Linked DNA regions of Cricetulus griseus. The protein of the gene in region 1 purifies or fractionates together with the protein of each later gene. This does not show direct contact. Links are inferred from orthologs where the notes say so. Each region holds a gene or a part of one and is shown in the gene's direction. Other genes may lie near its edges. The genes, in order: Upf1, Ncbp1, Mov10, Ilf2, Dcp1a, Upf3b and Magoh.

Region 1 (2,743 bases):
CTATGACCGCAGCAGCCAGGGTAAGTCTTCCTGGTAACCGCAGTATGTTTGACTTTCCCATGTCCCAGTCTGGATCTGTCACACACACACACACACACCCAGTGGCCTCCCAGGCTGGCCTTTGCCTCCATCTGGAGCTTGCCCAGTGAGTCTTTGTGGGTTCTCCAACCAAGCCCTTGGACCCTTTCTAGGCTCCCAGGCTTTTAACCTATGCTCTGGGTTTGTACTGGCACCTCGGAGGCAAGCCTGTGTCCACCTCCACCAAGCTGGCCTCTGCATTTTGGAAGCTTCTGAGTTGCCTAGAAAGCTCCAACGTGGCCAGAGCTTCACCTACCCTTCTGTGTCAATTCCTTACGCTCTACTAGCACCCTGCATGGGAGACGCACTCCATCTCTTGCTTGTCTCCTTAGCTGGCTGGCCCAGCAGCTAGTTCACTGCAGCATTGTCTTCTGGGACCCTGCATCTGACTCCAGGTGTCTTGCAGGCCGGCCATCAAACATGTACTTCCAGACCCACGACCAGATTGGCATGATCAGCGCAGGTCCCAGCCATGTGGCTGCCATGAACATCCCCATTCCCTTCAACTTGGTCATGCCTCCCATGCCGCCGCCTGGATACTTTGGACAGGCCAATGGGCCAGCTGCTGGTGAGTGGCTGTATCATCACCATGCTGAGTCCTCATCTTGATAGGCTTAGGTAGAGCTTGCTGTCTTTCACTGCTGTCTTTCAGGCCGGGGTACCCCAAAAAGCAAGACTGGCCGTGGAGGACGCCAGAAGAACCGCTTCGGGCTTCCTGGGCCCAGCCAGACCACCCTTCCCAACAGCCAGGCCAGCCAGGATGTGGCCTCACAGCCCTTTTCCCAGGGCGCCCTCACACAGGGCTATGTGTCCATGAGCCAACCCTCCCAGATGAGCCAGCCCGGCCTCTCCCAGCCAGAACTGTCCCAGGTGGGCCCTCATCAGCATACTGGCAGAGGGGTGGGGGAATGGGGCACCTTCCTGAAGGGCGAGTCACCCGCCACTAAGGCTGTATTCTTACCATATTCCAGGGTCTCACTCCTGGGTGGGTGTGGGCTGGTGGGTGTCCTGCCTTGCTCACTCTTGCTTTGCCTTTCAGGACAGCTACCTCGGTGATGAGTTTAAATCACAGATTGATGTGGCACTCTCCCAAGACTCCACATACCAGGGGGAGCGGGCATACCAGCATGGCGGGGTCACCGGGCTGTCCCAGTACTAGAAGGCAAGTGTCCTAGTAGGCCCAGCTATCTGCCTACACACTAGTGTAGACAGATACGGGGTGTGGGCAGGTTCTGCCTCCACTTGGCCCTGATGCCTCTCACCCTGTCCCTGATCACAGGTGGCGGCGGAACAGCTAAGCTATGTGGCTTAGTCTATCAGCATCTTATTCTGGGTAATAAAAAATAAAAATAAATGGATACCTGTTTTCCACTGCTAAAACTGAAGCACCACTGTGTGAGCAGCCGAGGAGAGGAGAGGAGAGGAGAGAGGAGCGAGAGCGAGCTGAGAGCGGCCAGGGAGGACGACGGAGAGGAGCGGAGCGCCGAGGAGCGGGCGCCCCCTGCGGGCGGTGAGAGGAGAGAGGCCCGCACCGCTGCGAGGCCGGCCCGGCGCCGTGCCCGCCAGAGGGAGAGGCCTCGCCAGGACCGGCCCGCTGTTCTTTTTCTTTGTTTCTCGTGATTGAGGGGCTACGTTTTAGCAGGACGAACTAAGCGTTTCTGTGCCCGAGCGGGCGGCCAGGAGCGTCATCGCGCACGTCCCAGCGCTAAGGGGTTTCATTTAAAGAAAACACGGTGTTTGGGGTTGGGGGGAGGGGTGTTTTGTTTTGTTTTCAGAGATTCTTTCAAAGGAGTATGGGAAGTACTTTGATCAGTTTGTCTCTAAGACCTTAGTGGTGGACCTGGGAGATACAAGAAGCTTCCAGAGAGGCAACGCAGAGAAGCCTGAGCCCCGCAGCCTGGGATCACCGTCTGCACCATGGCCAGAGGATTTGTTTTGAGTTTGAGCTTCAGAAGCTGCAGGCGAACTCCTGAGCGTGACCAATGCGTGTTGGCCCGCGGGGTCTTCCCATCGTGGGTGGAGGCCTGATTGCTGGGCGCTCTGCCCCAACCTCCCGCAGTGGCCCCCGACCCCTACCCAGGCACACCTGCGTCAACGCAATGGAACTTAATTTTTGGTCAAATTTGTTTTAAGCTTTTTGTCACCAATAAAACATGAACAAATGGTCCTTGCTTTCGCGTGGGGCTGTCCCTATGAGGGTGTCCCGGGTGGTCAGCGGCAGCCACATTCATCCACCACCATGTCTTCGTAGTGCCGCAGCACCACATTATCACTGTTGTCGAAGAAGAGCACAGAGATGGGCGACAGGCGCGCAGGCACGCAGCAGGGCAGGCCTGCGCCTGGAGTGGGGGCGGCCGCGTGCATGAGTGTGCGCAGCACGGCGTGGTTGAGCGCGGGCGGCCCGCCGGGCTCGGGCAGCGTGCACGCTCCCTGGCAGAAGTTGGCCAGGAAGCCGCGCGGTGCGATCACCCAGCGGTGCCAGCCCACCTCACGGAAGCTCACGTGCAACCGTCGCGTGCGACACGCGCCCCCGGGACCGGCGCCCATCCCGGGCTCTGTGTGGCGCCTTGGCCGCGGCGGGGGGCACAGGCGCGGGTCTAGTGTCACCAGCAGCAGGGAGGCCTCTGCCAGGCGCACGTGGGCATTGGCGGCTCCACAGTCCAGC
Region 2 (3,500 bases), on another chromosome or scaffold:
TCTTGTGGAGACATATTCCCTATTGGGTTCCTTTCTCTGACATCACTAACCTGTGTCAAGTTGACAAAATTAGCCGGCACAATTGACTCCTTGTCAGTTTGACATACTTTACTTAAGACATAACCTTTCCCTTTTTTTTCATCTCCAGTATCTCAGATTAATAAATAACACAAATATAAAACATATTACAAACGTAAGAACCCAACAGTCTTTACCAATGCAAACACTTTGGATTTTAAAACTTTTAAAGTCTCAAAAATAAGTTGCTTTTTTATTCAAGAGGCAAGAACCAGAGCACATTCACAGTCTGAACAAAGCAAATCCAAACTCCCACCTATAAATAACTCTGTGTCCAATGTCTGGGATCCACTCATGATCTTCTGGGATCCTCCAAGGATCTTGGGTCTCTTCTCTTGCTTCACTCTCTGCAGCACACACAGCTTGTCTCTTAAGCTCTGGCAGGTTCCACTCCATCCGTGCAACTGTCCTTGGTCATACCATGTTACTGGCCTCTCCAAAATGCTGGGGTCTTGTCTGCAACTGGGCTGCTCTTTCACCAATAGCCCTTTCCGGGGCTCTCTTCACAGTGCCAAGCCTCAGCTACTCTTCATGACCCCTTTGATCGTGGGCCTTCAACTGCTGTGGAGGCTGCACCTTCCTCAGTGGCTCACCTTAGGTTCTGAGCCTCAGCTGCTCAGGGATGGCACCATCCACAATGGGCTGGACCCTCTCCCATGATCACTAATTAAGAAAATGCCCTATAGACTTGCCTACAGCCAGATTTTATGGAGGTATTTTCTCAATTGGGGTTCCCTTCTCTTAAATGACTCTAGCCTGTGAATAGTTACATAAATTTAGCCAGCACAGGGACTCACTGATTTGCCCTGGCTGTCCTAGAACTGTAGGTAGACCAGTCTGGCCTCAAATTCAGTGATCCACCTGCCTCTGGCTCCCTAATGGTGGATTTAAAGACCACAATACCAGGCATATGTTAGCTTTTTGATGTGAATTCTAGGGATCAAACTTGGCCCTTCATGCTTGAGTAGCAAGTATTCTTATGCACCAAGCCATCTCTCCAGCCCCCCCCCCAAAGTATTTTTAATAAAGGTGCTGTATTCTGCTTCTGTGCTCTCACTCGGACTGTCTGCTGAGTTCAGTGTCTTATTACTGTCCATGGGTTCAGACTGTGATCGGTAGCACTCACATGTACCTTTCATACCCTCTCAAGTATCAGGTAAGAAGAGTGACTCTTCACATTCTAGTACTTTCAGTTTTCTCCAGATAAACCTTGGCTGGATAGCCACAGCAACACAGAAGTTAACAGTTCAGAGATATGACTATGTGCCTGTATTTTCTCATTGTCTTTAGAAAGTCTGCCTTGTCTCCCCAAAGCAGTGATTTCTGTGTGTCAGGCTTACAAGAGGACATGGAAGAAATGTTTGGAAGACAAAAATGGTTGCAAACTGGAACAATGTATAATTAGGAGGGCTTTGGGATGTGATAAAGGATTAGTATAGTAGATGGGCCAGAAGGAAGGAAAAAGTTTGAAAAGGTTTAGAAAAACAGCTGCTCTCATTCAGCTAGTTTTTCACTCTGTATTCTCTGACCCTCACCTAAAATCTGGTTCTGAATAATAATGAAGAACACTGTTGGTGCATTATGCATTCTGAAGCAGTTTCTTAGCATCAGCACTGTTAAGTTTAAAGTCATACTTTAAATAAAAAATTTCCAGCAGAGTCAACTTGTTTCTAAATCCTTATTTCAGCAGTTTCTGCAGTAATTTAGTTACATCATCAGTTTAACAAGTACGGTTGACACTATGAGGTTTAGGAACCAAAAACTGTGGGTCAGTAAGCAAGTTAAAAGAATGGAAGCAGCAGTACTCAGATTATGGGTGTTTGGTGTGTTGGTGCCCTTCAGTGTTTCCGAAGAAGTGGACATTGCTTACACAAATCTAACTGAAAAAATGCCTCCTGACATTATTCTTTATAGTGACCTTAATAACAGAGACAATGTGAGGCATTGGAAAGATGGCTCAGCAGTTAAGAGCACCAACTGTTCTTCTCAAGAACCTCTGTTTAATTCCCAACATTCACATTGTGTCTTACAGAAGTCCATAACTCCAGTTACAAGGCATATGAATCTCCCTTCGGGCCTCCACTGGCTCCTGACATACAAGTGGTACATAGTTATACATATAGCCCAAACATCTGTACATATAAAATAATAAAAAAAAATTAAATATATATAAACGCACATGCATAGAGAGGGAGAGACTGGGGTCTGGAGAGGTGGCTCAACAGTTAAAAGCATTTACTACACAATCATGAGAACTGGAATTTGGGTCTCAGCACTCTAAGTGTGTGCAGTATATGTCTTTAACCACAACTTCAAGAGAGTGAAGACAGGAGGATCACTAGGAGTTACCATCATCCTAGCTAAGAAAAGTGAGCCCCAGGTTCGGGAGAGACCTTGCCTTAAAGAATAGTGTGGTGGAGGACACCTAGCACCCTCTCCTGGCTGTATATGAGTGTACTAGCATGGGAACCTGTATACATGTGTGCATCCACTTACGTACACACAAATCTAAAAGAATGCGGGATAGAAATTGTCCAGGTATACCTAGACTAGTTAAAATGTGATTGGTTAGAGCTACTCTAAAAAACATAGTCTGATGGAAAAGAGGTTAAAGGCTAACAAGGTGACAAAAATTGTGATAGTAGAGTCATCATGTAATTTTTTTTTTTAATGTTTCTGAAATAGGTGGACAACCTCACAAAAGGAGAAAGACCTCTGATGCAAATGAAACTGAAGATCATTTGGAATCTTTAATATGCAAAGTAGGGGAAAAGGTAGGTATGCATCAAACCCAGGGGTTAGGGTTGTGGCTGACAGCTTTGATTAATTTCTGAAGTTGTAGTGGGTGATTCAAGTTACAGACAAAGTGTGTGTTATTACTGCACATCTGTATCCCAATGGGAATGTGTTTTGGTAATTTTCATTAGACAAGCCTTAAAATAGACCTGAGGATAGTCCTCAGCATGATGACCTGAAGCAGACTTGGATACCTCAGACAGCAGAGGGTGATTAGTGAGAGTGATGGAGCACAGCCCATGCTGTCCCCACACTTGGGATGGATGCACATTCTGCTTAGACTGTTTTGAAGATTTTGTTGACTCTCTTTTCATAGAATATAATTCTAATGAACAGTAACTACTCGGATTTATTACTGCTAAGTGAATTTTCTACAAAATTGTCCTTAGTTCTTATTTTTCTTCCCCACAGTGCCTTATAGAAGACCTTAATGTTTTATGGTCATCTAGGAATTTTAACTTTTAAGTCATTGATTGCTTGAGCGCTAACAGATAATTAATGTGATGTCCTCTGCAGAGTGCCTGCTCTTTGGAGAGCAATCTAGAAGGCTTGGCTGGTGTTTTGGAAGCTGATCTTCCTAACTACAAGAGCAAGATCTTAAGGCTTCTTTGTACAGTGTATGTATG
Region 3 (3,500 bases), about 200 Mb from region 1:
TGCCCCCTACATCATCTTTGGGCCTCCAGGTACCGGCAAGACTGTCACATTAGTGGAGGCCATCAAGCAGGTGAGGCTGAAGCACAATCCCAGGGCCTACCCTGAATTACTCAGCCCCAGCATTTGTCTTCAATTTTGATTCCCTCTAGTCAACTGAATGTTCCTATATGAACAGTCACCCAAAGAGGAGTTAGGGAGTTATGGTCATTATGACTGTTGAGTGTTGGTGTGTAAACATGCAGAGGTGAATTTGCAGATATCCAATACCAAAGAAATCTAGACTATCAGGTGTCTGGGAGGCAGATGGAGCCCGAGTCCCCGTCACAGGAAGCTTCTGCCCATACTGTTGTTTTCTTTATCTCAGGTAGTGAAGCTCTTGCCCAAAGCCCACATCCTGGCCTGCACTCCATCCAACTCAGGGGCTGACCTCCTCTGTCAGCGGCTCCGGGTCCACCTACCCAGCTCCATCTACCGTCTTCTGGCCCCCAGCAGGGACATCCGAATGGTACCTGAGGACATTAAGGTATGCAGGAAGTGCAGAAGGCCAAGTGATGATGGATGCCTGGGAGGTTCTCAGAGCATCTAAAGACTTGCTGTGTGACTTCGGGTGGGTCAGGCCCGCTGTGGGGACTTTTGTTTTCTTACCAGCAAAGGGAGGGAGGCAGGTAATAAGTGTTGGTTAGAGGGTCCAGAGCCAGGGTGAGAGTGAGAAAGCAAAGAGCCAAGCCGATTTCACATCCTTTCATATCCCACAGACTTGCTGTAACTGGGATCCTAAAAAGGGAGAGTATGTATATCCTGCCAAGAAGCATCTCCAGCAATATCGGGTCTTAATTACCACCCTCATCACTGCCAGCAGGTAAGGGATGTATAGGATCTCTTTCTCGCTTGCTAGTAAAAAGTAAAGTGGTGTAGGGCTAGGGAAAGAGGAAGGGTCCCTGAGGGCAGGGTGAAATGAAGGGCCAGAGTTCAGGTTTGGTAGTTGGGTGCCTGGGAATGACCCCTGCTTGGCCTGACACTCCCAGGTTGGTGTCAGCCCAGTTTCCCATCGATCACTTCACACACATCTTCATCGATGAGGCTGGCCACTGCATGGAGCCTGAGAGTCTGGTGGCCATAGCAGGTGAGGGGGCTCAGGATGGGCTATAGGTACACCACCCCACACCAACTGGGTAAGTCCCACCATTTACTCTTTCTCCCGTGCCTCTCAGGACTGCTGGATGTAAAGGAAACGGGCAATCCAGGAGGGCAGCTAGTGCTGGCAGGAGACCCGCGGCAGCTGGGGCCTGTGCTGCGTTCACCACTGGCACAGAAGCATGGGCTTGGCTACTCTCTGCTGGAGCGCCTACTCACCTACAACTCCTTATACAAGAAGGGCCCCAATGGCTATGACCCCCAGTTCATCACCAAACTGCTCCGCAACTACAGGTATCATGGTCCCCGCCTCAGGTAGAAGAGGATGTCTCCTTGGTCACCCCCTTACAGCTACTTGTCCTGTGACTTAGCAGGCAGCTGTTTCTTGGACCAGTGGTTTACCTGTATATTAGAGGTCATCAGACCAGAATGTGTCTGGATGGGTCTAAGTTTCTAGGCAATCCAACAAGGAAAAAGAAAGGGAGTGTAAGTTTTTCCTTAAAACCATTGTTAGTTGAATTACATACACAGCTGAGGCCTATGTACTTGCAGTTTTTACTTTTGTGGGGTGCTGGGACTTGAGCCCAGGACCTTGCATGTATGTTGCTTGCAAGTGTTCTACCACTAATGTACATCCCCGACTCTCCTCTCCCCTTTGCGACAAAGTCTGCCTGTTTTGCCTAGGTTGATTTTAACTCTTGACTCAAGCAGTCCTGCCTCAGCCTCCTGAGTATCTAGGACAGTAGGTACATTCCACCCTTACCATCTTACGAATTTCTTCTAGTAAGTTTAACGTCAGTGCTTAGGTGAGTTCTAGACCGTCAGTGAGAGTTTGGTAAATCTGGGGCTGGACAAATGCCTCAGCAGTTAAAAGTGTTGAAGAGGACCCATGTTTAGCACCCATGGCTCATAGTCTCCTCTAACTCTTTAACTCCAAGGGGATCTTGACGCCTTTGGCCTCCATGGTCACCTGCATACCCCCCTTCCCTACACACTAACATAATTAAAAAGAATAAAAATCTTTTAAGCGTTGGGTAAATATAAGCTAGGCTGTGGTTGCACATGCTTGTAATCCCAGCATTTAGAGATTGAGTGAGACAGGATTCAGATTTTAAAGGCTAGCCTGGGCTATACAGTCAGACACCATCCCAAAATGGCAGGGTTGTGATAGCTCAGTAGGTAGAAGTACTTGGTGAACACATACCTAGCAACCTAAATTGGATTTCCTAAACTGGTGAACCCACTTACAGGTGGAAGGAGAAAACTGACACTACAAGGTTGTCCTCTGACCTCCACACAGCAAAGCATGATTACCCACACCACACAGTGATAACTGTAAAAGTTTTGTAGATGCTTTTGGGTGGATACTTATATTTTGGGGGTATAACCTAATTAAGTGGTGATGGTAATTTGTTTCTGGACTGTTTTTGTTCAGTAAACTAAAGCCTGAGAATGGGTCCTAATTTCTTGGTTTTGAAAAGGAACTTGGCGGGTCAGTGAGAGCCCTAGCCTGATTGCTTATTAGAACCACTTTGGCTTGGCTTTCTGCTGTGTATAGCACCTGGCAGCAGACACTGATGATGAATGTGTCCTGGGCATGGCTGGAGGGCCAGAGGCTGGGGCAGGGGGAACACATGGAGCAGGGCTCCCCCAAAGGGCCTTGATCTTGTTCTTTCTCCTCCTGCCTCCTAGGTCTCACCCCACCATCCTGGACATCCCTAACCGGCTGTACTATGATGGAGAGCTGCAGGCCTGTGCAGATGTGGTGGACCGAGAAAGGTTCTGCCGCTGGGAGGGGCTGCCTCAACAGGTGAGGCCTAGCATGGCAGGGCTCCATCCCTGGACCCTGACTCCCTTCTCCTGAAGGCACAGAGACCTCCCTTTGTCATTATGGCTCGGAACCCCTGATTCCCTATCTGAGCTGGAGGGCAGGGAGGCAAGGAGATCAGCCTGAGGGTTTCTTCTCACTTTGTGTTCAGGGCTTCCCCATCATCTTCCATGGTGTAATGGGCAAAGATGAGCGAGAGGGCAATAGCCCATCCTTCTTCAACCCTGAAGAGGCCGCCACAGTGACATCGTACTTGAAACAGCTCCTGGCCCCTTCCTCCAAGAAGGGTAAAGCCCGCCTGAGCCCCCGGAGTGTGGGCATCATCTCCCCATACCGGAAGCAGGTCAGGATTTCCCTCTTTGCCCGCCAGCACCCTGGCCAGCTGCCTGCCTCTGCCTCCCTCTTTGTGGGGTGATGGCATGAGAAAAAGGAACCTATCTCCTCCCTCCAGGTAGAAAAAATCCGGTACTGCATCACCAAACTTGACCGGGAACTTCGAGGACTGGATGACATCAAGGATTTGAAGGTGACATACATC
Region 4 (4,106 bases), about 180 Mb from region 1:
AAGGTTTATTTTATTTTAAATTATGTGTATGTGTGTATATATGCTTGTGTGTGCAGTGCCCCAGAGGCCAAAAGAGATCTGTTGCTCTCTAGTCGTCGCTGCCAGAGCAGTGCATGCTCTTAACTGCTAAGCCATTTCTGAGATAGCTTTCCAGCCCTAATGAACAAAAAGAAGTCTAAATCCATGATAGCAGAAATCCAGAATGGTTACCTTTCTGAGGTCACAAACTTTTGTTTTTTTGAGACAGTATCTCACTATCTGGCATAGACCGGTTATGTAGACCAGGCTGACCTTGAACTCACAGAGATCCTCTTGCGGCTGCCTTCCAGGTGCTGGAATTAAAAGCGTGTTCCACCATGCTCCGCCAAAATATTTGTTTTGAAAAAATTTTCTGTTAAATTTATTTATGTTGTGTTTATGGGTGTCACCACAGCCACAGCACACATAGTGAGGTCAGAAGACAATATGTAGAAGTCGCTGCTCTCCTTCGCGTGGGTCTCAGCAGCTTACACCTGCTGAGCCACCTTGCGGACCCGATAAAATATTGTTTATTTTAATCTTGGTGGGGTTAGGTTACTTGGAAGAAATACACGCCTACAAAAGTACACAACACATCAGTACTTGTCAGAATCACACAACACAGGGAAGTGGGGAGGACGGGGTGGAATTCGGGGAGGGGAAAGACATGATCAAAATATATTGCATGAAAAGTATTTTCAATAAAAAGAACTGTATAACAGTAATAACATCGAGGGAATAATTGTGGTAAATAAGACTCAATTATCCCTGATATTTTCGTAGGGTAAAATTATGTTTTCAGGTGAGGTGGCACACCACTGACATGCAGGCACTTGCAAGGCTTGAGGACGTAGAGATTGCTGTGAGAGTGAGGTCAGCTCGCGTTCCATTAACGAGAACTTTGTAAGCCGGGGTGACCAAGCGAGATGCTGTCTGGAAAAAGCAAAACCAAAAACAGCTGGAGAAGAAAAGACAAGTTTGTTTTATCAAAGCGAAGGCAGGAGGCCGTAGGAAAAAAACAAAGTCTCCGATAGCAGAGGATGGTTTCGATCCATCGACCTCTGGGTTATGGGCCCAGCACGCTTCCGCTGCGCCACTCTGCTATCCACTGCTCAAACCCCTTACTGGGCCCATAGAAGACCTTTACTAGGTCACAGTCCGGATTCTGAGCGCCCCCTAACGTTAGTGTAGAAAATTGCCTTCATCCCCGCTATTGTCTTCCTATTGGTTGGCTCCTTATAGGGCATTTTTTTCATTGGTTGCTGAATTGACCAATAATCACAAGGGACGGAACGAGGCGGGAGCCTATCGCGCCGGCGTTTGTTGGGACGCCCTGGCAGACGCTTCTCTGCGGACCTGATTCTTCTAGGGAAAGGGCGGTTTAGTGTCCTCCATTGTTCAGGATTAAGCGAGCCATGAGGTAAGTGGACAGAGGTTCCTGAAGGCTCCTCCAGAAACCTCGGGAGGGCGGCCTGAAACGGAGGCGGAGGACCAAGGGCCTGATTGTGGGCGCCTGGCGGCGAACAGGCCGGCGAGAGTGGAGTTGGAGGAGGCGGGTGGGGGCGGGGAATCGGGCCTGGAGGGGGCTGGGCCCAGCCTGGGAGCTGGTTTAGCACCTAGGGCTCGGGATGGTGTGGAGAGCCCTCACGGACCAAAAAGAGCATCCTCGGTCTGCAGGGAGAAGGCTGGAGCGCTGCGCATTTTCTAGCGCCTAGTGTTTGACCAGTAGGACGTGCCTGGTAACTGTTAACGCTGTGCTGAAAAGAGAAGGCACTTTACTCTGTTAGGATTGGCGAGTCTCACGGTCGTGGGTCGCTTGGTAGGGGTATGTGTGTCAGTCAGGGTCTTCACCTCATATTTTCCTGATGTGAGCTTTGATAGAATCCAGAATTAGAAGTCGGGTGTAGTGTCGCGCGCCGCAATCACAGCACTTGGGAGGTAAGGCAACAGGAGTACATAGGACCCTGTCTCAAAAACAAAAGGGGAAAAAAAAATCCAGAATTAAGACGTCGTGGGGGTGGCGTTGGGCACCATTTGGAATTAGGGAAAAGTGACTTCAGTAGTTAGAAGCGGTTGAGGTAAGTCAAATTGAATTAATGTGGCTGGTATGATGGAGACGTTTTTCAGCTAGGTGAAAGTAAAATGTATGTATTTTTTAGGGGTGACAGAGGACGTGGTCGTGGTGGGCGCTTTGGTTCCAGAGGAGGCCCTGGAGGAGGGTGAGTGTGGCTGTTTGCATCTTTGCCCCGGTTTGTTCCAGTCATCTAAATAAAGGTTTGGAGTGGACTGCTGAACTTGATTTTTGTGAAGGTCATGTGAAGCATTTCTTTTCCTGATATTCTGCTAAGTAACTTTAGCCTTTTGCTAAGAATGATATGGCTCAAAAACTCTGGAATTCGCCGGGCATTGGTGGCGCACGCCTTTAATCTCAGCACTCCGGAGGCAGAGGCAGGCGGATCTCTGTGAGTTCGAGACCAGCCTGGTCTCCAGAGTGAGTGCCAGGATAGGCTCCAAAGCTACACAGAGAAACCCTGTCTCTGAAAACAACAACAACAAAAAACAAAACAAAAAAACCCCAACTCTTAAAAGACAAAGTTGGTGAATTGTGTACTCACTTGCTTTCTGTTTAAATAATTTTGGATTGTTTTTGTGTTTCAGGTTCAGGCCATTTGTGCCCCACATCCCTTTTGATTTCTATTTGGTGAGTACTTGGCTTTGTGGAGGACTTTTCTGCCCACTGTGCAAAAAAGGGAGCACAGAATCTCCTTGTTAATGAAGTCAAGTATTGTTTGGAGTAGATTTGTGAATGAATATGGTATTGTTCATATTATGGTACAGAAATATGGTTCATAATATGATACAGAGAAAGAGAGTCTTTCTCTGTATGCCTGGCTGGCCTGGAACTCAGTGTAGACCAAGCTGACTGCAAATTCACCATCCTCCTGCCTCAATCTCCTGAGTGCTGGGACTATAGGCATGCACTGTCACATGTGGCTTAAGTTTTTATTTATTTAGTTTGAGTGCTAGGGATTTGAACCTAGGTCCTTAGCATGCTAAACCTACAACTCCAACTCCTAGTTTTATTTTATTATTGCTATATTTATTCATTACATATCACTATATAGGTATATAATATGGCTGTATCAGTAGACACAGGTTTGGTTCCCAGCACTAATATCATAGTGTACATCTGTCTGTAATTCTAGTTCCAGAGGATCTTATGTTTCTGTTGACTTCCACAGGCTCCCAAACACAGGTGCACATACATACTCTGAAGTGTTCACACATATACAATAAATAAATAAATATTCAAAAACAAAGCAATTGGTCAGCCAGTTTTCAAAGTGGCTGTAATACTTTTGTAATCCCAGGAATGGATGCCTATGACAGGAGGACCATGTTCAAGGTTTAAGATCAGCCTGGGATACAATAGTAAACTGTCTCAACAAAAACAAAACCGAGAAAACAGTGTAAACTTGGTAGGGAAGATAATTTCTTTAGTTTGATATTTAATATTTCTTCTATTATATTTGGTTATAATATAAAATAATTTTAGGATTTAATTTTTTTGTTGTTTGTTTTTTTTTTTTTTCGAGACAGGATTTCTCTGTGTAGCTTTGGAGGCTGTCCTGGAACTAGCTCTTGTAGACCAGGCTGGTCTTGAACTCACAGAGATCCTCCTACCTCTGCCTCCCAAGTGTTGGGACTAAAGGTGTATTTAATTATCTTTGAGACAGTGCCTGTATATATAATTTTGTCTGGTTTGGAACTAATAGGGATCTGCCTGCTTCTGGTTCCTGAGTTGCTAAGGGTGTGCACTATCACACACACACACACACACACACACACACACACACACACACACACACACGGTGGATCATACCCCCCCCCCCCAGGATTGTTCTGTGTAGCCTTGGCTGTCCTAGAACTCACTATGTAGACCAGGCTGGCCTTGAAACTTACATAGATCTGCCTGTCTCTGCCTTGTCCTTCCCCACCATGCTGAGATTAAAGTTATGCACCAACATGGCCCAGCTACAGTGGATTCTTTTTATTTCATGTGTATGTATACCCCCTTGTATGCCTGG
Region 5 (4,216 bases), on another chromosome or scaffold:
CCAGTACTCTATAAATTCAATTAAAGTATACATGACAGAAGAGTGAATAAATAGGTTACTTTCCCTGCTTTTGTACTTGCTTCCCACGATTCTGTAAAGAATGTAAAGTTTGTTCTTCCTTTAGTAAATGATCTTGGGATGTAAAACTATAAGCAATACAAATATGTGGTGTTGTTTTGATGAAAACGTAGTTTGTTTTTTCAAAAATGTTCAATTACACCAAGGTGTCTTCAATAAAGGAAAATGGTTTTTAAAGCAATTTGGTGAAAATAGGGTAGGCATTTTGTTTTACTTTTTAGTAGTACCTCACTACTTAAGATGCCCAATAAATGTTTGGGGTTTGTTTTGTTTTGTTTCCTCTGTGTAACTGCCCTGGCTGTCCTGGAACTTGCTCTGTAGATCAGGCTAGCCTCGAACTCAGATATCCACCTGTCTCTGCTAAAATTAAAGGCCTGTGCCACCACCTCCCAGTTGCTCTTTGTTTGTTTTTAAAGTGATCTTCGTATTAAATAACGACGTTCTTTAATCTGGAACAATAGAAATATTTACCTGGGACTCGGATGAGAAAAAAATATGAGAAAAGGGCAAAAGAAAAGGAGTCCTGTGTAATTCCAGGCAAGCTAGTTTGGCTGCTTTGAAACATTTCTTTCAAAAATTACCAAATTGTTAACTGAAGGTCTGTAGGTGTAGTCTGAGGTCGGAGGTAAAGTAACATACAGCACACACACACACACACACACACACACACACACACACACACACTTTCTGAGTTTTCTAAACGATCACACACACTCTTTCCGAGTTTAGTTTGGCTGCTTTGAAACATTTCTTTCAAAAATTACCAAATTGTTAACTGAAGGTCTGAAGGTGCAGTCTGAGGTCGGAGGTAACATACTGCACACGCACACGCGCGCGCGCGCACACACACACACACACACACACACACACACACACACACACACACACACACACACACACACACAGTCTGAGGTCGGAGGTAACATACAGCACACACACAGACACACACACACAGACACAGACACACAGTCACACACACATACACTTTCTGAGTTTTCTAAACGGTCCATGGAGACGTCATTTCCACAGCAGCATTTCGATTCTGCGCCTGAACCTGAGACAGCCTCTGCGATGGAGTCCCGCCGGCTGACACAAGCCGGGAGCAGCCGAGAGCAGCCGGGAGTGCTCGTGGAAGGAGCTCGGGTCCCACCAGGTGAGCGAGGACTGGGGGCTACTTCCTCGTCACACGCAGCCGCGGACGCCAGCCAGTACCTTCCGGCAGATGCGGACCTTCGGAGACCGGAACCAGGCTCCCAGGATGTGGGAGTGGCGGAACAGAATAGTTAAAGTACCACCCTCCGCAAGGCCGGGCAGCTAGGCGGAAGTGAAGGACTGACTGAGCTGGGGGAACTTTGCCTGGATTGCACTTTCCTGTTCTCTAGTCCGCCCCCGCCAGAGGGGCTCGGCTCCGGGATTCAAGATGGAGTCGTTGAGTAGAGCAGGGCAAGAGATGAGTCTGGCGGCCTTGAAGCAGCACGACCCCTATATCACCAGCATCGCAGACCTCACGGGCCAGGTCGCTCTGTACACTTTCTGCCCTAAGGCCAACCAGTGGGTGAGTGAGGCCCAGCCGCGAAGGGTGCCAACCTGGCCGCTGCCGCCTCTTAAAGGGGCCGCGCAGGCAGCTTAGGATTGGGGGTGGGGGAGTGAAGCAGGACCGCAAAGGCGAGGCCAGAACCTCTCCTAAAGGCCCGGCCAGAACCAGAGGGGTGACGGGGGCACGCGGAATTGGAGGAAAGAAGCGGGAGAAATATAGCAGGGAAGATCTAATGGAGGGGAGGAATGAGGCAGGATCAGTCCTTTGGGGTCGGTTCTGGGGACTTGAGTAATTTTACTTTTTTACTGGTTGCATTGGAAGGATATGAGACAAGTTAGTTTTTTTTGGGGGGGGGAGGTATTTTTGTGACTGAAATCTGTGTTTCAGACTTTGAGAACTATTAGATAAATTACATGTGTCTAATCACAAAGTCCACCCCTCTCCCCCCAACCTACCTAAATGAGGTGATTTGGATTTGAAGCTTAAAAAATCAGTTTCAAGAGTTAGTCCCGCTTTAATCGAACTACTCTAGAGTTTGGGGAAAGATTTCAAGGCATCTAAGGAAAGGGCACTACGGTAAGAATAGGGTTCCTTGGAGACCTTTTGCAGGGAAAAGAGACCGGTGATACCTAATCTTTGATGGCTCACATCTGAGGACTTTTTAGATTTTGTGAGTGGCGATGGAGTTCCAAAAAGTTACAGTGCCTACTCACTGACTTGTTAGCTTCAACTTAAAGTACCTTTCAGTTGTTTACATGGTTTCCCATTTTCTTGTGCTGACTCTTTCTAATTCATTCAACTGTAAAAGCTTCATGCCTTTAATCTGTAACTGTTGATTGAATAGAATTCATCAATGATAGGCGTTCACCCTTCAACAAGTAATGAGGTCCTTGAACTAACAAAACGCTGAAGGACTGGTCTAACTTTTATTCACTGTGACACTGATACATAGATGTAATTTTGTGGAAGTGTATTGTCATTTATGAAAGTTTACGTCAGAAGAAGTTTCCATAATCATTTTCCTTCTCCTTCTGGAGGGGAAAGGGATGTAGGAAGCCACTGAGAATAAAATTACAAACTGTTTTACTGGTATACCTGTTTTAAACAGTGCCTTAGTTTGAAGTATTTTGTATCATTTTTCTCTGCTTCCTCTATATGTAAATTTGTAACATAAGGGCTGCAGACAATTGGTGAGAATTTGCAAGTAGCATTTATAACTGTTACCTATTTGTAGTTTTTCACAAAGGCTTGCAACACTTGAGGATTTTCACCATGGAGTTGTTTTAAAATGAAATTGAAACCTAAGCTGCTGTTTTTTTGGATCTTGATACATGGTGCATTCACCATCATCTTTTCTTATTTATTAGTGGTGAGTTGTAATTTTGCTCAATGTATTTTGGGAGGCAAGTTTACTTTTACTCTGAGACAACTGGCTGTCATCTTTTTCTGATGAGAGCATTTTTTTTAAAGCAAGAAAAGGCCTCAAGAAGGATAAGTTTCATTGTGATGTAGAAGACATGTACAAGAAACAGATCTTTATTTTTAATTTTTTATCACAACAATTTGTTTGATATAACGTTAAGTTTTGATAATCTTTTGGTTACATTTAAATTATCAAGATCCAGTGTAAGCCAAGAACTACAGACTGACAGGATTTTGGGGTTTTAGAAAAAAATAAAAGCACTCTGCCTGTGCCTAAAACCTGACTATATTCTTGTCAAAACAGATGAAAGAATATTAATGGGTTGTATTTTCTTGTTTTGTTTCTTGTAGTGCAGAAGATCAAACCTAGGGCCTCATGATCCTATTCAAGCACTGTACCTCTACCACTGAGCTATATATATCCAGCCCAAGTTATTTCTTAATCAAATTTTCAAATGTTTATTTTAAAAACCTACCAGAATTGCCTACGTCTGAGAATGAGGTCTATCCATGGATTCTTAACAAAGTGTTTGGTAGTAGTCCTTAACTAACCACAAAATTTGTTACTAATGAAAATATTCCTAAATTCTCCAGAGGTGAAACAAAGTATATAAGAAAATTTCCTGAGAGTTAGGGATTTGGCTCAGTGGTATACAGCTTTACATCATCAGCCCCAGACCCTGAGTTCAGCCCTGGTATCAGTTTACTTTCTTTTTCTATTAACTTTGATAGACTGTTAAAGTTTGGTCAGGTTTTTTTGTTTGTTTTTGAAGTTGCAACACAAAATACTTCAACATTAAGATACCTTGTTGAAAGGTTTTAGGTTTGGCAAAGTTAAAGCTGGGACTGGAAAGATGGTTCCTCGGTAGCTAAGAGCACTGGCTGCTCTTCAGAAGACCTGGGTTCAGTTCTCAGCACCCACATGGTGGCTCACATCCATCTGTAACTCCAGTTCCAAGGGATCCAATGCCCTCTTGTGCCCTCTGTGAGTTTCCAGCACACATGTTGCGTAGACGTGTGTACTGGCAAACATGTATGTTTGGTTTTTTAGTTTTTAAAAAAGTTAATGCATAAAAATAAAAAGTAAAGCTAATTCTGGTATTTTGTTTTTTAGTGGTCCTTAAGGTTTAAAATAGAAAAATGCTACAGATGTAGACATGTTGAATTGAACATTGATTA
Region 6 (3,500 bases), on another chromosome or scaffold:
TCCAGGTTCAGAGCCAGCCTGGTATTTAGAGTGAATTCTAGGACATTCAGGGCTGTTTCACAGAGAAACCCTGTCTTGAAAAAAAAAAAAACAAAAAAAGGGTACCATCCTTAGTTACATAGTGAGTGAGTTCCAGACCAGCCTAAGCCTTATTGGACCCTATCTCTAAACAAACAAAAAGAAAGAAAGTTTAAGAAAAGACATGTTCAATGAATTTAAATAAATTTCTTTTTTTCTTTTTTTTTAAATTTTATTTATTGTATGTACAGTGTTCTTCCTGCATGTATGCCTACATGTCAGAAGAGGCTGCCAGATTTCATTACAGATGGTTGTGAGCCACCATGTGGATGCTGGGAATTGAACTCAGGACTTCTAAGAGCAGCCTGTGCTCCTAACCATTGAGCTATCTCTCCAGTCCCAAATAAATTTTTTTTAATTCATTTTTTTTTATTTTTATTTTGTTTGCTGTTTTGAGACAGGATCTCTCTCTAGTCCTGGCTATACTGGAACTCACTCTGTAGACCAGGATGACCTCACAGAGATCCTCCTGCCTCTGTCTCCCTAGTGTGCCACTGTGTCCAGCCCATTTTTACTGTTTAATATTAATATGGGGGAGGTGATATGCACATGGGTGCAGGTGCCTGGGGAGACAAGAGGCTTCGGATTGCCTGGAGCTGGAATTCTGATGTGGATCCTGAGAGGTGAACTCAGGTCTTCTGCAGTAGCACTACTTGCTCTTAACCACCAAGCCATCTCTCCAGCCCACTTAAATAACTTTCTAAAGCTTGGTTTCTATTAATGAATATGCAGAATGTTCTCGTGTCTGGTAGCTTCCTTAGAATAAATTCCGAGAAGTAGAAATAGACCAGGTATTTGTAGCGCAAGCCCCTGCCCTCAGTTTCTTTCCAGTCCAACAGACTTATACTCCTATATGATAAGAATGTACTTCTGTCTTACCAACTAGAAATTACTTTCAGTATTTCTTTTTTTAGTAATTCTCTTATGTACAGATGCTTTGTCTGTATGTATGCCTGCAGGCCAGAAGAGGACATTAGATTGTGAGCTGCCTTGTAGGTACTGGGAACTGATCTTAGGGCCTCTGGAAGAGCAGCCAGTCCTCTTTAACTGCAGAGCCATCTCTCCAGCCCCAACTTTCAGTATTTCAATGGGAGTTTATTCACTATCTTTTCTCGGTGTCTTTTTATTTATTTATTTATTTTTGCTAGGATCTTATGTGTCCCAGGCTGACCAAAAACAATATAACCATATAGCCAAGGATAGTTTCAACTCCTAATCCTCTTGCCTCCTGAGGTGTGTGCCATCACACCCAGTTTCACTCACTTTTTTAAACATTTATTTTAAGCCAGCATTTTGAAATAGAACAATATACAACTTGTTTGGATTATTAGGGTGGTTTTTGTAAGGGGTGTAATTCCCCCATCTTCAGTGGGTAGCAAGGGATAGCTGAAAATGAAATCCTTTCCAGGCTTGATAAGCATTATTAATAATCTTCTTTTGCTTTATAGCTAAAAGGACAACCCCACTTTTGAGCTTCCTGAAGAACAAGCAGGTGAGTGTTCATTTTTGTAGTTCTGGTTCTTTATTAGTTCACAGTGTATAAACATTTGAGAGCCTTGGGATCCTACATGGGAAATAGCTATCTTCCCACAGTTAGCCCTTAAAGATCTAGTTTCTTTAGCCATCTTCATGTTGGTGGTGGGCTAGGGGCTTACCCTGCAGACCTGGAGAGAGCTTTGCTGTCCCAGAGACATTCCCTAGAAACCTCAGGGAATATACAGAGGAAACTGTGGGATCAGGTCCCGTTCCAGTCTTAATTCTCCAGAGAATGGGTATTAAGGATGTTGTAGAAAGTAGGAAAGAAGTCAGGCATCCATAATGCCTTTGTGGCTAGTTGGGGTTTTGGAACTTATGTAATCAGAAGGATTGTGTTGGTATTTCTAGAGAATGAGAGAAGAAAAGAGGGAAGAAAGGAGGAGACGCGAAATAGAAAGGAAAAGACAAAGAGAAGAAGAGAGAAGAAAATGGAAAGAAGAGGAGAAACGAAAAAGAAAAGATATAGAAAAGCTAAAGAAGATAGAAAGAGTTCCAGAAAGAGAAAAAATAAAGGATGAACCAAAGATTAAGGTATGAAAACAACAGAAATGGACTGCATGTCACTGAAAACTGCATGTATCTATTTATGCATGAGCCTGGTGTTGTTGCAAGTTTTGTTTTTTTTTTTTTTTGCACTTTTGTGGGGTTACAGAAATAAAAAGATTTCCTATCATACTAATAGTGCTATGCTTTAAGCTTAAGATGACTTAGAAGCATTCAGTAGTTTATCCAATGCTATTGTCCTTCATTGCAGACCTGTTTTGTTTAAGTCACTAATAATGTTTGCTATGTGGGTTGCTAGTCTCTCAGTTCCTGGTAAATGAGGACTTAGGCTTGGCTTGCATGCATTTGGGGTTTTTTTTCAGCTTTTCTTTCATAAATGATACATGAAGTTGCCTCATCTGTTTGTTTTCCACTGTCTTCAGGTACACAGGTTTCTGTTACAAGCTGTGAATCAGAAAAATGTAAGGATCAAGTACATGATACAGAGCACCTAGTATCATGTCATACACACAGGTTTTAGCAAATAACAACTTTTGGTGGTGGTGGTAGTGTTACGTGCTGAAACCCCTTCAGATTGACTTGGATCTTTGTGAAAGCTGAGCTATTTGACATCTCTCTTTAAAAGGAAACCCCAGCCGGGCGTTGGTGGTGCACGCCTTTAATTCCCAGCACTTGGGAGGCAGAGGCAGGCGGATCTCTGTGAGTTTGAGGCCAGCCTGACAGAGAAACAAAAAAAAAGGAAACCCCAAACCAGGCATGATGATTCATTAAGGGTTTAGTGTGAAGCCAGCCTAGCCTGCAGTTCCAGTACCTACCTCAATAAAATAGGACAGAGTAAAATAGAGGGCGCGCAAGTGACACCCTGATGCTCTGCTGTGTAACCAGAGAAAAGTCAGTTTATATAGCACCTTCTCATCTTCTTATATACTTCTCCTAACTGGCTGCCCTGGGGGGAAAGTATTGACAAATACCCTGCCTTAATTGCTTTCCCCTCTCCTGTGATTCCCAAGTTACCATCTAGCATCTAGAAATCTGTGATCAGCAGACGCTTATTGCTACATTGCATATAGGAAGAGGAAAACCTATAGAAAGATCTCAGCCTTGCTGCTTCCTTCCCAAGGGCATGGCTTGGGCAGTCCTTGCTCCAGTGAATATCCCAGAGAATATCCCAGAGAAGTACTCAACAGCTAGACCTTCAGAAAGTCTGAGAACAGATATGACAGCATGGTTGCCTTCTTCTCCTTTCTGGAAATACAGCAACTGGAGGGGGGGCTGGGGTTTCCTCAGTCTCCTTTGGACTCAACATTGCTGATACAGGGGAAGCTTACACCTCAATTCCTTCCAGCTGAGTCTCTGTCCACCATGCCACAAGTAATTTGACT
Region 7 (2,258 bases), on another chromosome or scaffold:
TATGTTCTTTAACCCTGATTTTAAACACTTATGTGACAGAATATTCTATAAATATATATATAGGAAATTAAGGCCCAGATATTAAATCTGAGGCTTGTTCAAAGTTACTCTTGCTTTACTTTGTAAGAAATAATGGCCAAAATTTAGGCATACTTATATTTCAATAAAGTTCATGTATTCCATTCTGTTATGATTTCTAGCATACATTACAGCTACATCAAAACTCTGCCGCACCCCCCCCCCTGCCCTGCCCCCTGCCCTACACTCCCAGACAGGATTTCTCTGTGTAGCTTTGTAAACCAGGCTGGCCTCAAACTCACAGAGATCCCCCTGCCTCTGCCTCCCGAGTGCTGGTATTAAAGGTGTGTGCCACCACTGCCCTGTTGCTGTTTCCTTTTAACCACTCAGTCACACTTGAAAATATAACAGTCAGGCTGGGCAGTGGTGGTTCATGCCTTTAATCCCAGCACTCAGGACGCAGAGGCAGGGGGATCTCTATTGAGTTCCAGGACAAACTCTAAAGCTAGAGATACCCTGTCTAGAAAAAAGGGGAAAAAAATGTAACGGTCAAGTATACCATCATACCATTTGGCTGTTAATTTTATGCCGAGTCAGCATCCTATCTTTTTCTTTTTCTTTTTTTTTTTTTTTTTTTTTTTTTTTTTTGCATGAGCTAGAATACAGAGAAAACATTGATGTGGACAGACAGGATATACCAACAAGTAGCTGGGGAGCTGGACTACTGTCTTTAGGTACTTTTGATCCTGAACCCTCCTCATGGAGGTTTGAGAAACAGGTCTTTAGGAGTTTTATCTCCCATTACTTTCTGGGTCAGAATGTTGTTGAGGTATGGTGGTTTGAATGAGAATGGCCCCTAGAGGCTCATGTATTTTAAACTTGATTTTAGGCATATGTACATAAAAGTGTGATGGAAGAATTAAAGAGAATTATTGATGACAGTGAAATCACCAAAGAAGATGATGCTCTGTGGCCCCCTCCTGACCGAGTAGGCCGGCAGGTGAGTGCTTTATTGATTGTACTTGTACTTCTTACAAAGGAGATGTGGACTACTGCTCTATGGGACATTTTGGCAGGGAGAGAGAATCATTAATTCTATGTTAGTGCTAGAAATGGAACCCAGGTCCTCTGCAAGAGCAGCTACTGCTCTTAACCACTGAGCGAGCTTTCCAGCCCCATGTTACCATTTTGTTAACCAAAAAGTAAAAGATAATTTACCTCGACTGCCACTACTATACTACATACTTCTGGTTTCTGTGTTTCTCCTGCATTGTATAGCCCCACATTTCTATCCTAAAGCCAGGGAGGTTCTTTTAAAATGTAAATTGTGCTGAACATGTTGGCACATGCCTCTAATCTCAGCAAGTGGGAAACAGAGGCTGGTGGGTCTCTCTGGAATCTAGGCCAGCCAAAGGTATATAATGAGACCCATCTCAAAACACAAAAATATCTTTTTTTTTCCTTAAAGGACAAGATTTGTAAATTTGACTTCTTTAATTAAACTTAAAACTTGTTTTACCAAAGGCATCTAAACAAAGTTGAAACGATCTGGAAAATATCTGACAAGGAGTTTCTCTAAGAATATGTGAAGAACTATAAACCAATAAAAAGATAACCCAGGGGGGTAAAATGTTGCAAAGGATATAAATAGACAGTTTATAGACTCAAATAAGTAGCCAGGAAACATGGAAAAGATTTACAGGTACATTTGTAACCTGTAAAAATTGGGACATCACATTGTTGAAGCCTCACCCAGGTCTTCAAAAGAATAGAAAGAGCTCATACACTGATGGCAGTAATAAAGTACCAGTATGGCCACATTAGGAAGCCATTAGGATAAGGAGCTGACAGAGTAAAAAAATACTTTTGGTGAGGCTGGGGACCTAACTTCAGGACTAGAACAAAATGTTTACTGTGAGCTCAGCCCCAAGACCTAGAACATTCTTGCCACATTGTAAATGATATAGCAAAAATTGGGAACTTAAGTCTGCTTCAGTAAGGAAATGTTATGTTCAACATATTTAAATTGTTGAGTAGTTCAACATGGATAAATATTAGAAACAATATTGAATGAAATATATATATATATATATATACACACACACACACATACATATACATACACATCACGTATGGCCATTTATTTTTAAAGTATGCTACTAAATCTAAAAAAGCAAGTGGAAGGAATACATGCCAGTTTTAGGGGATACCAGAGACTAGAGTGGCAGACAGGTATAACT

Evidence for each region.
Region 2: the proteins of Upf1 (region 1) and Ncbp1 purify together in Homo sapiens (co-immunoprecipitation; 3 studies listed by BioGRID and IntAct, with this or other methods). This does not show direct contact. The link is inferred for Cricetulus griseus from reciprocal best matches to the Homo sapiens genes UPF1 and NCBP1.
Region 3: the proteins of Upf1 (region 1) and Mov10 purify together in Homo sapiens (affinity purification with mass spectrometry; 3 studies listed by BioGRID and IntAct, with this or other methods). This does not show direct contact. The link is inferred for Cricetulus griseus from reciprocal best matches to the Homo sapiens genes UPF1 and MOV10.
Region 4: the proteins of Upf1 (region 1) and Ilf2 purify together in Homo sapiens (affinity purification with mass spectrometry; 3 studies listed by BioGRID and IntAct, counting the BioPlex papers as one, with this or other methods). This does not show direct contact. The link is inferred for Cricetulus griseus from reciprocal best matches to the Homo sapiens genes UPF1 and ILF2.
Region 5: the proteins of Upf1 (region 1) and Dcp1a purify together in Homo sapiens (co-immunoprecipitation; 4 studies listed by BioGRID and IntAct, with this or other methods). This does not show direct contact. The link is inferred for Cricetulus griseus from reciprocal best matches to the Homo sapiens genes UPF1 and DCP1A.
Region 6: the proteins of Upf1 (region 1) and Upf3b purify together in Homo sapiens (co-immunoprecipitation; 16 studies listed by BioGRID and IntAct, with this or other methods). This does not show direct contact. The link is inferred for Cricetulus griseus from reciprocal best matches to the Homo sapiens genes UPF1 and UPF3B.
Region 7: the proteins of Upf1 (region 1) and Magoh purify together in Homo sapiens (affinity purification with western blotting; 3 studies listed by BioGRID and IntAct, with this or other methods). This does not show direct contact. The link is inferred for Cricetulus griseus from reciprocal best matches to the Homo sapiens genes UPF1 and MAGOH.

The regions. Positions count from the first base shown.
Region 1 is NW_023276806.1:248,638,407-248,641,149, forward strand, and holds the end of Upf1 (regulator of nonsense transcripts 1), read left to right. Parts: coding exon 1-20; intron 21-484; coding exon 485-646; intron 647-730; coding exon 731-948; intron 949-1,117; coding exon 1,118-1,237; 3' UTR 1,238-1,240; intron 1,241-1,357; 3' UTR 1,358-2,243; downstream 2,244-2,743. Other genes in the region: embryonic growth/differentiation factor 1-like, read right to left, coding at 2,290-2,743. UniProt on the Homo sapiens protein: RNA-dependent helicase required for nonsense-mediated decay (NMD) of aberrant mRNAs containing premature stop codons and modulates the expression level of normal mRNAs.
Region 2 is NC_048595.1:97,282,110-97,285,609, reverse strand, and holds part of Ncbp1 (nuclear cap-binding protein subunit 1), read left to right. Parts: intron 1-2,763; coding exon 2,764-2,852; intron 2,853-3,390; coding exon 3,391-3,491; intron 3,492-3,500. UniProt on the Homo sapiens protein: Component of the cap-binding complex (CBC), which binds cotranscriptionally to the 5'-cap of pre-mRNAs and is involved in various processes such as pre-mRNA splicing, translation regulation, nonsense-mediated mRNA decay, RNA-mediated gene silencing (RNAi) by microRNAs (miRNAs) and mRNA export.
Region 3 is NW_023276806.1:52,175,127-52,178,626, forward strand, and holds part of Mov10 (helicase MOV-10), read left to right. Parts: coding exon 1-70; intron 71-364; coding exon 365-523; intron 524-755; coding exon 756-859; intron 860-1,025; coding exon 1,026-1,123; intron 1,124-1,211; coding exon 1,212-1,428; intron 1,429-2,826; coding exon 2,827-2,944; intron 2,945-3,113; coding exon 3,114-3,305; intron 3,306-3,413; coding exon 3,414-3,488; intron 3,489-3,500.
Region 4 is NW_023276806.1:64,074,791-64,078,896, reverse strand, and holds the start of Ilf2 (interleukin enhancer-binding factor 2), read left to right. Parts: upstream 1-1,306; 5' UTR 1,307-1,433; coding exon 1,434-1,438; intron 1,439-2,177; coding exon 2,178-2,237; intron 2,238-2,676; coding exon 2,677-2,719; intron 2,720-4,106. UniProt on the Homo sapiens protein: Chromatin-interacting protein that forms a stable heterodimer with interleukin enhancer-binding factor 3/ILF3 and plays a role in several biological processes including transcription, innate immunity or cell growth.
Region 5 is NW_023276807.1:189,261,229-189,265,444, reverse strand, and holds the start of Dcp1a (mRNA-decapping enzyme 1A), read left to right. Parts: upstream 1-1,416; 5' UTR 1,417-1,498; coding exon 1,499-1,633; intron 1,634-4,216. UniProt on the Homo sapiens protein: Necessary for the degradation of mRNAs, both in normal mRNA turnover and in nonsense-mediated mRNA decay. Removes the 7-methyl guanine cap structure from mRNA molecules, yielding a 5'-phosphorylated mRNA fragment and 7m-GDP.
Region 6 is NC_048604.1:29,409,222-29,412,721, forward strand, and holds part of Upf3b (regulator of nonsense transcripts 3B), read left to right. Parts: intron 1-1,526; coding exon 1,527-1,570; intron 1,571-1,962; coding exon 1,963-2,145; intron 2,146-2,540; coding exon 2,541-2,579; intron 2,580-3,500. UniProt on the Homo sapiens protein: Involved in nonsense-mediated decay (NMD) of mRNAs containing premature stop codons by associating with the nuclear exon junction complex (EJC) and serving as link between the EJC core and NMD machinery.
Region 7 is NC_048595.1:41,957,005-41,959,262, reverse strand, and holds part of Magoh (protein mago nashi homolog), read left to right. Parts: intron 1-907; coding exon 908-1,018; intron 1,019-2,258. UniProt on the Homo sapiens protein: Required for pre-mRNA splicing as component of the spliceosome. Plays a redundant role with MAGOHB as core component of the exon junction complex (EJC) and in the nonsense-mediated decay (NMD) pathway.